Tamandua tetradactyla: one gene and its partner. The protein of the gene in region 1 binds, or shares a complex with, the protein of each later gene. Links are inferred from orthologs where the notes say so. Each region holds a gene or a part of one and is shown in the gene's direction. Other genes may lie near its edges.

Region 1 (7,332 bases):
CATCAAGCTCCATGATCATAAGTTTAGCCCTTTGGCATACTGACAAAATGTCCTAAGCAAACCCAGGTATGTTAGCTAGGGGTTTTGCACTGGGAGAGCAATGGAGTACCAACTGCTTTTCTCCCCATCAGCAATACACTTTGGGCTACCAAGGATGTGTAGCCCATGGTATCTGGAGAGTGTGCCCTTGGCAGCACAAGAGATGAGTAAAGGTTACTCACTCCTTTGCCTGAAAAACAACTCTTGTTAAGCAACCAAGGTGGTATGCTTAGTTCTCCCCAAGGTGGTGGCCTTCCTTCCTGTTTGACAACGGGCCATCCCCAGGTCTATCCCAATCACAACTCCATAGGGCTGCCCCAAGTAATGGTCACCAGACTAGATGCAGTGCCCATGGAGCACTAGCCCAACACTTAGTAAAAGTGGACTCAAGCACTAACTAATTATGGTGGTGTTGTTGCCACCCTACAGGCAGAAGCCTCAGAGACAATCTTCTAAATGCAGGCTGAATGCAATGTCATGTTATGCCAGGTGTGACGGTTAATTTCATGTGTCCACTTGGTTAGGACAGGATGTCCAGCAAGCTCTGGTCTGATAGTTACAGTGAAGGTATTTCAAAGATGAAATATGGCTGATTGAATCTACAATCAACAAAAGCGATAACCTCAACAATGTGGGGAATCTCCTAATCTGATAATTTAGCAGTCTTAAAAGCCTGAACTGAGGACTTCAGAAGCAGAGAAAGCCACAGGAGGAGACTAAGGACATCATTATGTGATGGAGGACTGCCATCATCAGAATATTACCCACTTCTGGGAAGAGGCAAGCTCTGCTGATAACTTGATGTTGGACTGCTATCCTCTAAAATCATAAGGTAATAAATTTTTGTTGTTTAAGTCAGACTAGTGGGTGGTATTTGTTGTAGCAGCCCTGGCAAACAAAAAGACCAGGGTATAGCCTATTAAAAATTCTTGTCTAGAAGTTGAATGTACTTTAGGTAGGGAGAGGTGTCAACATCTGGCCAACACAACACAATCCCACACAAGCCAAAATGCAAGCACTCCAGCAACTGGCAATTCCATCCCAGCAGCCTTTGTCATATCAGAGAACCAGTTGGTTACCCAAGAGCGGTCCATTAAAGCTGATGAGGTTTTCTCAGTCATGGCTGACCCATCCTGTTATAACACTGGTGGTTCTGATTTCCCACTCTTCACCCCATTGGTGATAGAAGGATTCCTGCCCTAGGGTAATGGAAATGGTCAAACACAGAACACCCAACATTAGCCAGATGAACTCAATAGCACTTCATTAGTCATACATATTTGCAGCTTTGAGGAGAAGGATCTTGTGCCATGTAAGGTCTCACCAGGATTTCACCTGAGAACAAAGTGAACAAGCAGAGGCCATGGGGGTCAGGCATTGTAGTAAAAAAAAGGAGGTACCCACAAGAGGATGTGTTGGTTTATTTGAATAAATAAATAAATAACCCCCCATGGGCTACCAGGAGACTGGAGCCTGCTATTCAAAGATAAGAGGTACTGTGCCTGGTCCTGGTGATAATGAGGTTGTTTTGGCAAGGGCACCCATGGAAGTACAACAGGAAGGTGAACTTTAGGCCATTCAAAGTCCTCCCAGTTATACATAACAAGCCACACATAACATAAGGCCTGTCACAGTTACGTTCATGTGTCAACTTGGTCAAGTGGTAGTATCTGTTTGTCTGGTTGGGCAATGTCTGTTGCGATGAGGACATTTCATAGAATTAAATCATGATCATGTCAGCTACATCCACAGCTGATTACATTTGTAATCAGCCAAAGAGGAGTGTCTTCTGCAATGAGTAATGCTTAATCTGATCACTGGAAGCCTTTTAAGGAGGATTCAGAAGAGACAGGCAGGCTCTTCCTGTCTCGGCTGGTGAGCCTCTCCTGTGGAGTTAGTCCAGACGCTCCATTGGAATTGTTGGCTTCACAGCCTGCCCTGCAGATTTTGGACTCTGCGTTTCCACGATGATGTGAGACACTTTTATAAATTTTATATTTGCGAGTATTTCCTGTTGATTCTGTTTCTCTAGAGAACCCTAAATAATACAAGACCTTAATTTTTGGCCTTGAACCAAAGTGCATGTGTGTGTTTATATATACCGATTTTTTGGTGATGTACAGACACCAATTATTGATTTGGGTGTCAATAAAAATGAGAGCTGTATGGACAGATTTGAGAGTTATAAGCATACAGATGAGAGTTGAAACTAGAATAAAGAGATTGCCCAGGGAAAGCGTATAAGTTCTCTTATACAGAATAATTTTCCTCCTCCTTAAGGTAATCTTGTGCAATGTTATTGGTGGTATATCACTATCTAATACTATAGAAATGCAATGCAACAAGCCACATGAAAACCCATAAAATTTCTAAAAGAAAAAATTTTTAAAGAGACATATGCAGTAAGTTTTTAAATGGTTTGCTACAAGCAATAGTTAACAGAAATAAAGGCAGTTTTTATTACAAATAACAAAGGCAGTTCTCCAACCTTGGCCAGATAGTTATAAATTCCTTCTTCAGCCATTTTCCGTTATAAGCAACTGAGAGCAGGAGGCATCTTTCAAAATGACCTTGGAGCAGTGAGGTGTCATCACTTGGCCTGTGTGACAGGAAAACTTAAAAGGTCATTATGTTCAATTTCTTCATTTTTCTATACGAAACTGAACCTTGGAGAAGGATATACAACTAACCAGAGTCATGGTACCTGAAAATAAGGGTATAAAGATATACTAAGGGGTGCATGGGTGGCTCAATGCTAGAATGCTCTCACCTGATACTCTTCTGCGTCTTCAAACCTACTGTTGTGTGTGCCTAGTATATTTTAAACATCATCTAGTGTCATTTATTTCTATAATGCCTGTTATTTTTCTATATATTCTTCCAAATTCTTCTTTATGCTCTCCTAGTTTCTTCTTAGTATCTTTTATCTCTTCATGCATATTCCCATTCATTTATTTGAGTTTTTTCAGGAAATTTGTTTGAACATCTTTGATTAGCTATTCCAGATTCTATATCTCCTCTTTCAGATTTATTCTTTTGACTGGGGCATTTCTTCTTGTATTTTAATGTGTCTGGTGATTTCTTTCTTTGCTGCTATCTAGTCAACTGATCTTTCTTTTTCTCTCATTATGAGTATGTTTTTAAATAGCTTTCAAGATACATATTTTCCCCCCATTTTAAAAACCATCTGTTCTCAGTTTCTGCTAGTGGTCCTCGTAGGCCCAAGCCCCTGCTCCCTGTCACACGGGAGTCCAGGGTTCTACTCTAGGCCCATGCTCCCCTTACCCTCCACCACCCAAAAAAATAAAAGATATTACTGAATTATGATCAAAATTATCAGAAGTTAAACCATCAACCAAAATTAGCCAGAGACCATTACATATCTCTTAATAGTAACAATTAACTCTTGGAGGACTTGCCAAGTGCCTGGCTCTAAATGCTGTATGCGCACTAACTCTATTAAATAGGAATAACCCTTCTCTGCCCCACCAGAACCCTCTTTTGAGAAAACTGAGGTTGAGGGAGAAGCGACTAGCCTGAGGCCACACCCCCATTAAATGGCAGGCGGAGGATTAAGACTCTGTGTTTTCCTTTCAACCTCGAAATTATACACTTCTCTTGGTCCTGCTGTACGCACTTCGGTGTTCTTGTCTCTTTTGACAACCAAGCGATATGTGAGGCGCTTTCCTGGGTCTACGGGGATTGCAGAGCAAGAGAAAATGTTAGTTACTCTTCTCCAAAAGTTGTTTCTTGTCTATATAAATATGCTACATTTTGTCTTAAACACGAAGGTTGTATGATATATATCTTTTAAGTTCGATGAGGAGAAAATCCTTCGGCAACAATACTGTGCCTTAGAGGTGTGAGAGAACCTCCCAGGAAGCGGCGTCGGCAGCGAGCTTTCTGGAGCTCAGCGTAGGAATGGAGCTTCATGCAGGTCACACAAACGGTCTGTACCTCAAATAATGCAGTATCTTCTTTATCTTTGTATTGTTTTGTTTCCTTGTCGGTTTTCTTCTCTGCAGTATCTTCTTTAACACACTCAACTTTACTAAGTGCAAGTGGGAGACACAACACCAACATCTCACAAAAACAATACCGGCAGCATTGTCCAGAAGACATGCGCACTGACGCCCTAGTCGTCACACGACCGAAGCGCGAACTCTTGCGATAGCAACCAAACGTCGCCGAGACCCAATGCCGCGGCTGAGCTAACTCTCGCGAGAGCAGTCGTAACTCACCGAGAACTTGCATTGCTGGTGTGCGAATGCGCGGGTAGTGAGGGATAGCAGGGGCAATGGCTCGAGCCGTTCCGCCGTGGAGCTGGCTGGACAGACAACAGGAGGTGGACGTGCTGGAGCTCGTCCGGCATATGACTGGTCTGCAGGATGAGGCGGACCCCAACTTCCAGCTCGCCCTGAGCTTCGTCTGGTCCAACTTCAGGTGTGGGATGCTCACGGGCGGGGACTCTGCGCTTGGGTCTTTGTGTCCTTTTTGCCCAGCGAGCCCAGAGGAGGAGGGGCGGGGTCGCGCAACCTAGCTGTGGGATCCTCGGGGAAACCCGCATAGGCCCTGCCCTTATTCGGTGCCTTAGGGTCTTCTGTGGCCCCGTCGCGAGACACACGCGTGCTTCTACAGTGAATTGTGAGTTGTTGAGTGCCCGCCTCCCGTCTTAGTATGTGCGCTTTTAGAGAGCAGGTTCGTACTCTGTCTCTACTGTAGCCATTGCGCTTTGTGCAGTACGAGTCTTAAGAGCAAAATAATGATCACATCCTATTTAGAGTTGTATTCTCTCTCACTCCTTCTTCCTGCCCGGGCCATTCCAGATCTCCCTTACCCTGCTCTCGGTGTTTTGCCAGAGCGCTTATCAAAACACATTGGATATATCAGTTGTTTACTCTTTGTCTCCACCTTCCCCCACACCCAGCTGGAATGTAAGTTGCTGGGGAGCAAGGATCTTGGTTCTTGGTCTGTTTTGTTCATAATTGTATCTCAGCACCTAGAACAGTTCTAGACCCGTAGTACACTAAGTCACCCAATACAACCTCTAATACAGCTTCTCATTTAATTATTTTTTAAATAGCTACGATTTAGATAATTAGGTTGCAGTCGAGCGCCTACTTTTCTTTAGGGAAAATATAAATTAGACAATACTGTTGTGATCGTTACTGTAATGGAATTCCTACTAAAAGTAAGTGTTAGTGTTAACATTCTGCCCATTTAATTTCATAGAAATCGCAAACAGTTTTTTTATCTGTAATCTTGATTATCACAATAAAGTGCCTACTTGATTTATAATAAGAATAGACGGCTTTCAGATCTGTACGTTTCTGAAATGATCAACACAGTTCTTAAATGTGATTTAGAAAAGTGACACTGTCTGCAATATCTCATGTAAGACAGAAAATTAAATGTGCTATCCCAAATGATTTTTATTAATATTTTTAAATGTCAGTAGATAGATGGATATCATTTTAGTTAGGAGAACTTTAAGTTACTATCTCCTTTTTTAGATTGAGAAACTAAGTTATGATAGGTAGGGTGATGTTCCCACACAACCAGATATTGGGGTAGATTTAGATGTATTATTCACAAGTGTAATTTCCTACTTTTAAGTACGGATTGCTGACTTTGATAACCAAAAAAATGGAAAATGAGAGTTGAATAAGCTATACTGTACTGTTGAGATGCTTTAGTCAGTCAGAAAAAGGAACAATTCATGTTTACATTTTTAAAATTTTGGTCATGTTCTAGGTCCTAAAAATCCAGAAATGGATAAGATAATAAAAACTTCAGTCTTTAAGGAAAACAGGGACAAAAGGGAACAATTACAATATAGTCTTGAACAGGTGTTTTTAACTTGAGAGTCTGAAAATGGAATTCAGGTGTATGTGAATTTGGATAAGAAAATATTACATAACCTCTAGCTAAAAAGTAGTAATTCCTTCAATTATGAATGAAGGTAACAAACCATAATAGTATTAGGCTGTTAGCCTACGATTGTCACCAGTAGAGGTCACAGATTACTTTTACATCATAATATAGTTGCTGCAGATATTTCTCAATATTGCTCACTGTTACTTCAATGGTAGTTATTGAACTTAGGCTAGATCTTGTTTATTATTACATTAATAAAGAAGTACTTTAGTTAATGTACATTTTAAAAATTTTTATTGACAAAACAAAACAACGTGCAGACACCAACATTCTTAACATACAAACATTCCATACATGGTGTACGGTCAGTGGCTCACAATATCATCACATAGTAGTATATTCATCACCATGATCATTTTTTAGAACTTTTGCATCACTCCAAAGAAAGAAATAGAAAAGCAAAAGCAAAAACCCTTACGTACCATACCTCTTATCCCTCCCTCTCATTGATCACTAGTATTTCCATCTCCCCAATGTATTTTAACCTTTGTTCCCCCCTTTTTTTTATACTCCTTACCACTCCCTTTCATTGATCACTGGTATTTCAATCTACTCAATTTATGTTAACATTTGTTCCCCCTATTATTTATTTATTTTTAATCTATATTTTTTACTCATCTGTCCATACCATACATAAAAAGAACATCAGACACAAGGTTTTCACAATCACATAGTCACATGGCAAAAGCTGTATCATTATACATTAATCTTCAAGAAACATGACTACTGGAACACAGCGCTGCAGTTTCAGGCACGTCTCTCTAGCCCTTCTAATATACCTTAAACTAAAAAGGGGATATCTGTTATACATTTTTTAAGTTGACAACTGTATTTCAATATAGTAGTTTTCTTTGTTTTTATTTTTTTTTTTTTATTTTTTTATTTTTTTTTTTTTTTAAAGGAAAGACAGAGAGAAGGAAGGAAGGATAGAAGGAAGGAAGGAAGGAAGAAAGGGAAACATTTTTAAACATTTTCTTGTTTTATTGTATTCTGTTTCTCCGTTTTTGTTACATGGGCTGGGGCCGGGAATCGAACCGAGGTCCTCCGGCATAGCAGGCAAGCACTTTGCCCGCTGAGCCACCGCGGCCCACCCCTTTGTTTTTATTTTATACGTTTAGAAGATTGTTCTGGGTAGGGGTCTTTTAGGTTTCACTGTGGTATAAAAAAGATTACAAACACCTGATATAGAATGTGCTATGTTGGCGACACAGGTTATTACGGGAGGACAAAGGAACTAAACGACTGAACTGGGGAGGTGAAGGATGTGCCTGTGTCCTAAGGAAGGGATGCTTGAGCAGTCTCCAAGACACAGTAGTGATTTACCTGGCTGGTGGTTGAGGTAATGGAGGTGTACTT
Region 2 (7,150 bases), on another chromosome or scaffold:
TGAAATCTTCCTTCCTACCACTTAACTGTTGAATTCTACCAGATTCTATTCTGAGTCCTCTTCCAATCTAGGACCATCCTGCACCGTGCATTCTCTCTTGTGACCCTATTCATTGTGTGCCTTTAACCACTGCCTGGACAAGGATGGCTGTACACCCAGATCTCTCACCTTAGCTCTAGGCCTGTGCACTCTCTGTTACCTCTGGGACCCCTAAATCCATCTAGACATCCCCAGGTCCCCTAAAACCCCACTTGTTCAAACACATTCCTCCTGATTTCCCTGTGTCTCAATAAATGGCTCTACCTTCACCCAACAACCCAAGATGATCTCAATTTCCCCAGCTTATAACTGGGTGCCCACACATTACAGGCGCACAATACAAGAATTAACAAATGGCCCACACACAGGCTTACTTCTTATTTTGGTTTACTTCCTATTCCTTGAAAAACCATACGGAACAAGTCAGCTGTTTCATTCTATTTCATAGTCAAAATGTGAATTTAGCAAAACTCCCCTTACATGAAGAGCTTCAGCTCTTTCTCGTCACAGTTTTAATTTTCCCTTGCCTTCACTTTGAAAATTAAACTCCATGGGGCCACAGAATCCCAGTCTCATGCCTAGAATTGACTCTAACTACCTGTTTTTCCATGAAATGCACACTGCTCTTTCTCCCAGGCCCTGAGATACACCCTCAGTCCACCACCTCACCCTTCTACCTCTAACCTCCAAAATATACCTGTGCTCTTGACAGTACATGCAGGCATCCAGGAAAGGCCAGAAATGAAGATGTATCAAAAAATTTTTTTTATTCAATATGGAGTGTCCAATCAAGACTCTGGACATTTAGCAAACTTCTTAGTTATTTACAAATGCTACATTTATTATCAGATGCAGAGCAAGGCCTCAGACAAAGGAACGCCACATCCCACTACATTGTCATAATCTGGGTCAGAGAACATGGAGCCAAGAAAATTAAACTCAATACTTAACTACGGGTAATGACCTTGAGACCCTAGATTTGAAATCCAGGAGATAATGAACGTGGTTCTTTCATTCAACCTCAGTAGAAGTTACAGCTGAAACTGAATATGACCAATCATTGCGTTTTATTTATTTTTAATGTATTTAAAGTAAATATCAACTTTACTTTTATCTTGAATAAAATCTTTCATCTATAGTTGTAGCCAAGTTGTACTTCAGTTCCAGCTGCACGCAGGGGTAATGACAGCAGTTGATATTTGTTGAGTGCTTACTATAAGTCAGGCACCATGCTAAGTGCTCATGTATTATCTCATTTAACTGATATGGATGTCAGTTCTCAGCAGAAATGGAAAACCATAGTCTGCTAAGAACTGGAAGGATTTACATTCAGCTCTCTAAGGTGCATAAGCATCTGCATTTCCAAGCTATTTCTACCAGACTGAGAAGAGCCTCCGGCTCATCAGAGATGACTTATTACACAGCAACTTTTCCAACTCAGATAAACTCACACGTTCTAACCTGCTTGCCTATAAACTGGGATTTGAAGGAGTTTTTCACAATTCTGGGGACCAGGAAGTGGAAAGCATCGTTATTAATCACATGAAAAGATAAAAATTAACTCATGTTTTGCAAGAGTTCATAAACTACTTATAGCTTGTTATTATTTTAAAGGAAGCAAACTGAGCCTTAGAAAACTCACAAGGCAGGGAGGCCTGGCAAGTTTGCTCTCATCTCTGAAGCCTTCCTCTTCACCCCTTGGCAGACGCTGAGCTCTGTAAAGGTCTTGGCAAAGCCTCTGAAGACAGCCAGATCTTAGGGAGTGATCCAGTTGGAGGAAGAGTCTCTGAGGCTCAGAGAGTTGCTTAGACTCCACCTTTAAACTTCAAAGGAAGTAGCAGACCCTCCCCAAAAGGTCACGTCTACTGGTCCCCCTGAGGGATGCCTAAGATTTTCTGACAGGCGAGAGGTGGAGGAAGCTGGCTAGAAGGCCCTGGTGGGGTGAGGGGAGTGAAATTGAACCAAAGCTGGGGAAGGGACAGAAGTGGGCCTGAGGATTCCAGGAGGGTGGGGACTGGAAGGCGGCCTAGTTCTTTTGAAAGAGAGAGAGAAAGAGTGCTTTTACCAGTGCCTCTGCAGACAACTTGCAAAGAAAGCCCAGCAGACAGGGACAGACAGACAGAACACATCGGTGAGGATTTGGAATGTTCCTTGGGGTGCAGGAGACTGCATGGGCTCTTTAACAATTGGTTTGGAGACAATTGGACATCCCTATGGAAAAGATAAAATAGAATGCTATCTCACAGCAGGCCTCCAAATAAATTCCAGACGAACTGAAGACCCACAAGGAACAAGTAAAACTAGTATGAAGCTTTTGGGGAAAAAAACCATAAAAGAATAACTTATGATACTGGGTTAGGGAAAGGTTTCTTTAACAAGGAATAAAACATGCAAAATATAAAGGAAAAGATAGATAACTTTGCCCACATTAAATCTCTATAACAATCTCGTGATATTCTATGCAAAGTGAAAAGACAAGCCATCAACCAAGAGACAATATTTGCAACTCATAGAACCGAGGCAGATTACTAGAACATCTTTAAATGCATACAAATCAATAAGAAAAAGAGAAGCAACCCAGGAGAAAAAATGGGCAAAAGATACAAACAAGCATTTCACAGAGGAAGAATCCTGAAAAGCCAGTAACAAAAGAAAAATGAAACAATAGCAATTAAAGCAATACATGATCCTGGACAGGATCTAATAGAGGAGGAGAGAAGGCTCAAAAGGACATTATTGGGACATATGAAAACATGAATATAAACTGTAAACTTTACATCAATGTTAAATTTCTTGGACTTGATAATTGTACTTGAGGTGGACACATAAAATGGAATATCCTTGTTTTTAAGAAATGTTTTTGACTGTATTAAGTATTCTAGGAGCATGATGTATACAACCTATACTGAAGTATTCAGAAAATGAATTGTTAGAGAGGCAAACAGATGGATGAATTGATAGATTGATAGGTAGACAGAATGATATGGCAAATGTGACAAAATGTTAAAACTAGTAGGTCTAGGTATGTGAGGGAATAGGGATATGTTGAAGTTCTCAGTGTGGAGTTCGTATTATTTTTGTAACTCTAAATTTGAAAGTATTTTTTAAAAAGTTTAAAAGAAAAAAGAAAAGAACAGCAACTTCACTAGTGACAATAACTGGAAATTACAACAATGAGATCTCATTCAGCATCCATAGAATTATGAAAAATTAACATCTGATAGCCCAAGTGTAGAGATGGGAATTCTATTGCTGGAAGAGAGTAAATTAATATGACCATCTTGGAGAAAATATGCAAAACCTAGTAAATTTGAAACTGCACAAGCCCCTTCTAGCAGCATTTTCCCTCATGCTCATAAATGGACAAGTCCTGTGCTTCCTCTAATAGGGAATAAATGGAAGCAATCTAAGCCCTTCTATTTGGAAATAGAATAAACTGGTTTTATTCACCCAACGAAATACTACACAACAATTAAAGGGAATGAAATAAATCTACAAGTGTCAATATGGCTAAATCACAAAAACCCAATGTATGGTGATAGGGTAAAAAAAAAGGAGGTTGCAAAAGGATATTACACTGTCATCATTTATATAAAAATTTTAAAATACATATATAAAATAAGATATACATAATATAAAAGTTGCCAGAATAATAATTTTAAAGTGTGTAATTCAGTGGCATTAAATACAATTACAAAACATTTTAAACATAAAAATACAATATCGTACTTGTATGTTTGCAAGTTTTCGTAAAATTAAATTTAAAAGAAGAGAGTTTGTTTGGACCCAGCTCCTCTCCCTAGCAGATTCCGCAGAGCCGCACATCTACCCCCCTACAGCTAGCTCCACACATCTGGAGCGTCTGGCTAGTACGCGACGGCGGCCCAGCCTCTCCCCTCCCCCAGATTCCGGTCGCGACCCTGCGGGTCCCCGCCCCCCCCGCCCCCGCTGCCTCTCAATGCGCAGGCGCGGAGCGGGGAGCGGGAGGGGGCAAGGGGGAAGGGCGTGGCCTCAGTCTGCGCCTGTGCCGAATTCCAGCTGTAATTGCTGTGGGAGAAAATGATGCTCAGGTCTGGCTCCCCGGCAGGCCGGCCGAGGGGAGGCCCCTACTGCACACGCGCAGACCGAACACCCGCGTCAAGAGACCAGGAGAGTGTGCTTCCCACGTCCTGCGCACCCCGCTGTCAAGCACTCGTCTCTGCTACGACTCCTGCCCGGGGGTGCTGAGCGCCCACGTCTGAAGAGTGATGCCCCGGGAGATCATCACCCTGCAACTGGGCCAGTGCGGCAACCAGAGTGAGCGAGTGCAGGGTCCCCTCAGCTCCGGTTCTGCCCCTTCGGGTTCCACCCAAGTGCTTGGCATCCTACAGTCCTCCTTTCCCTTCCATGCATCCCTACCCTAATGCGCGTGATGAACGGAGCCCCAGACCAAAAGCGGCCCCCAGGCTGTGCGGGGTCCCGGACCCAGGCGTCTTGAGCGCCCTCTCCAAGTGTGACAGTCTCTGTCCCCCACCCTGGGCTTCTTAGTTCTTACGGCTCTAGCAGACCGAGGCATCTTCACCCTTCCCCCCAGTCGGATTCGAGTTTTGGAAACAGCTGTGCGCGGAGCATGGTATCAGCCCCGAGGGCATCGTGGAGGAGTTCGCCACCGAAGGCACTGACCGCAAGGACGTCTTTTTCTACCAGGTGCCCCCAGCGATTTTGGAAGGGAAGGGCACTGGCCTGGGATCTGGAAACCGGCTGGCAGAGGGGCCAGGGCTTGAGGAGAGGGGGGCAGGCAGGAGCCAGGGTTGGGTTGTGGGAGCACTGGTTAGGCCCCAGCTGACTGGGTCCCGGCCTGGACTCCCCTGCTCAGGCAGATGATGAGCACTACATCCCGCGGGCTGTGCTGCTGGACCTGGAGCCCCGGGTGATCCACTCCATCCTCAACTCCCCCTACGCCAAGCTCTACAACCCAGAGAACATCTACCTGTCGGAGCATGGTGGAGGAGCAGGCAACAACTGGGCCAGTGGATTCTCCCAGGTGCCTAAACAGGCCATCCCAGAAGACACCCCAGGTCAAGGCAGGTTTAAGCAGCCTGGGGATTTGACCGGATCAGAGTAACAATAAATGAAAGACAAAGGGGGATACTCTGACTAGAGGAAGAACTGGGAAGAGGTTTATGCAAATTGTGTGCAAATTATTTGCCAAGTAGCAGCTGCAGTTTGAGGACCACATCTGAGGCTCTGCTTGAGGGTGGCAGCAATGTCCCAGGGTAGAGCTTTTGGTGTTGAAAAGAGATGCTCCCCAGAACCTTCTCACCGTGATCCTTCCTCCACACATTTCTACTCAGGGTGAGAAAATCCACGAAGACATCTTTGACATTATAGACCGAGAAGCAGATGGAAGTGACAGCCTAGAGGTGAGGCTCTCCCCTGCTGAAGGAAAAACCTGGAGAGTGCTGGGGAAAAGTCAGGAGGTGGCCTGAACAGTTGGTGTGATGAGGCAATTTGAAACCTATCAATTGAGCATCAGATGTAGAGTACTGAGAGATAAGGGACAAGCTTGTCCTCACATGCCACAATCTGAGTGCCATCAGCCCCTTAGGCATGAGTCATTCAGCCTCTGCTCAAGGCTCTGAACCTGGATGGACACACAGGAAGCCTCCAGACATGGGTATGTTGTGCAATGAGACAAGCCTGAAGCTTCTCCACCCCTCCCCATACAGGGTTTTGTGCTATGTCACTCCATCGCCGGGGGGACAGGTTCAGGCCTGGGCTCTTACCTCCTGGAGCGCCTGAATGACAGGTGAGCCCATGTTTCGGGAGAGGGCATTAGCCCTGGTTCCCTAGGTGATGTCCTTCCTTTTTGTCACCTCTTCTATTGAACTGGAAGGTATGCCACTACCTCTTTTGAGTCATAAGGACAGAGCCTGGCCACCCAAGCAGCATCTTGGAAGCAATGACTCAGGGGATGGCAGGTTCAATGCTTGCGGCTTGTCCTTTCTGGCTCCTGAGCTCTGAAGATACATTTCTACCCTTACTTCCTCAATCCAAGAATTTGGTGATGCTTGTAGAGGAATGGCTCCTGTTGTCCCTAGAGAATAAAGAGATGGGCAGTGATGGGGAGCCTCCAATTCACTGTGCCGCCCTCCCCTCCCCCTACCCTCAGGTACCCCAAGAAGCTGGTGCAGACGTACTCAGTGTTTCCCAACCAGGATGAGATGAGCGATGTGGTGGTGCAGCCCTACAACTCCCTGCTCACGCTCAAGAGGCTGACCCAGAACGCAGACTGTGTGGTGAGCACAGAACAGAGCTGGGGCTTTGGTCAACCTCTCCAAACCAGGGGATCACATACACTCTGCCCTGCCCATGCCCCTTTCCAGAGAACAAAATCTTATGAGCTGAATTCTGAAATCATATCCAACCCTCAAGTTGTTTACAGTCCCTTTAGGCAGCAAGACTCTCAACAGAGCAAACCTCCCACCCAGCTGCCCCCACTATGCCTGCTTAATGCCTACTCATGCTCGGATACTCAGCTCAGGGGTCACTTTCTCCTGGAAATCTCTGACCATCCAGTCAAGGTCAGATTCCTTGAAGCATATTTCAGATTGTAGCTATAATATTTGTGTTTTACATTTAATGTCTGTTTCCCTTCACTAGACTGAAGATCTGGTGAGGGGAAAGACCATGCCTGTTTTTCTGTCCATTGTACCTCCAGGCCAAGTAAAATGCATGACACAGAGAGAGAAACTAAAATATTTGTTTACTACACTGGACACTAGAAAAGTGTCTTGGGTGCCCCAGAGACTACTAATTCCTGATTTTGGAGTTTAGGTCTAAGCTAATATCAACTTTCTATGTCCCCTTTTTCCTCAAAAGTTACTGTGGCCCTCTTCTGTCCCCGCAGGTGGTGCTGGACAACACGGCTCTGAACCGGATCGCCACTGACCGCCTGCACATCCAGAACCCGTCCTTCTCCCAGATCAACCAGCTGGTGTGGCCCCACCCTGGACCTCCCTGCACCAGCGCCCTCCCTGCTGGTGGGCTGTCTGGGGAAGGGAGGCCCCACCCAGGCTGAGGCTCCTGACTTGCCACCCCTGTCCCCAGGTGTCCACCATCATGTCGGCCA

Evidence for each region. Proteins that work in one complex are often made in the same cells at the same time.
Region 2: TUBGCP5 (region 1) and TUBG2 share a complex: the UniProt entries of both Homo sapiens proteins name them as parts of the gamma-tubulin ring complex. The link is inferred for Tamandua tetradactyla from reciprocal best matches to the Homo sapiens genes TUBGCP5 and TUBG2.

Annotation. Positions count from the first base shown.
Region 1 is NC_135338.1:74,105,725-74,113,056, forward strand, and holds the start of TUBGCP5 (gamma-tubulin complex component 5), read left to right. Parts: upstream 1-4,256; 5' UTR 4,257-4,336; coding exon 4,337-4,482; intron 4,483-7,332. UniProt on the Homo sapiens protein: Component of the gamma-tubulin ring complex (gTuRC) which mediates microtubule nucleation.
Region 2 is NC_135332.1:24,574,683-24,581,832, reverse strand, and holds the start of TUBG2 (tubulin gamma-2 chain), read left to right. Parts: upstream 1-4,074; 5' UTR 4,075-4,286; coding exon 4,287-4,335; intron 4,336-4,612; coding exon 4,613-4,725; intron 4,726-4,894; coding exon 4,895-5,062; intron 5,063-5,372; coding exon 5,373-5,441; intron 5,442-5,717; coding exon 5,718-5,827; intron 5,828-6,190; coding exon 6,191-6,317; intron 6,318-6,928; coding exon 6,929-7,015; intron 7,016-7,128; coding exon 7,129-7,150. UniProt on the Homo sapiens protein: Tubulin is the major constituent of microtubules, protein filaments consisting of alpha- and beta-tubulin heterodimers. Gamma-tubulin is a key component of the gamma-tubulin ring complex (gTuRC) which mediates microtubule nucleation.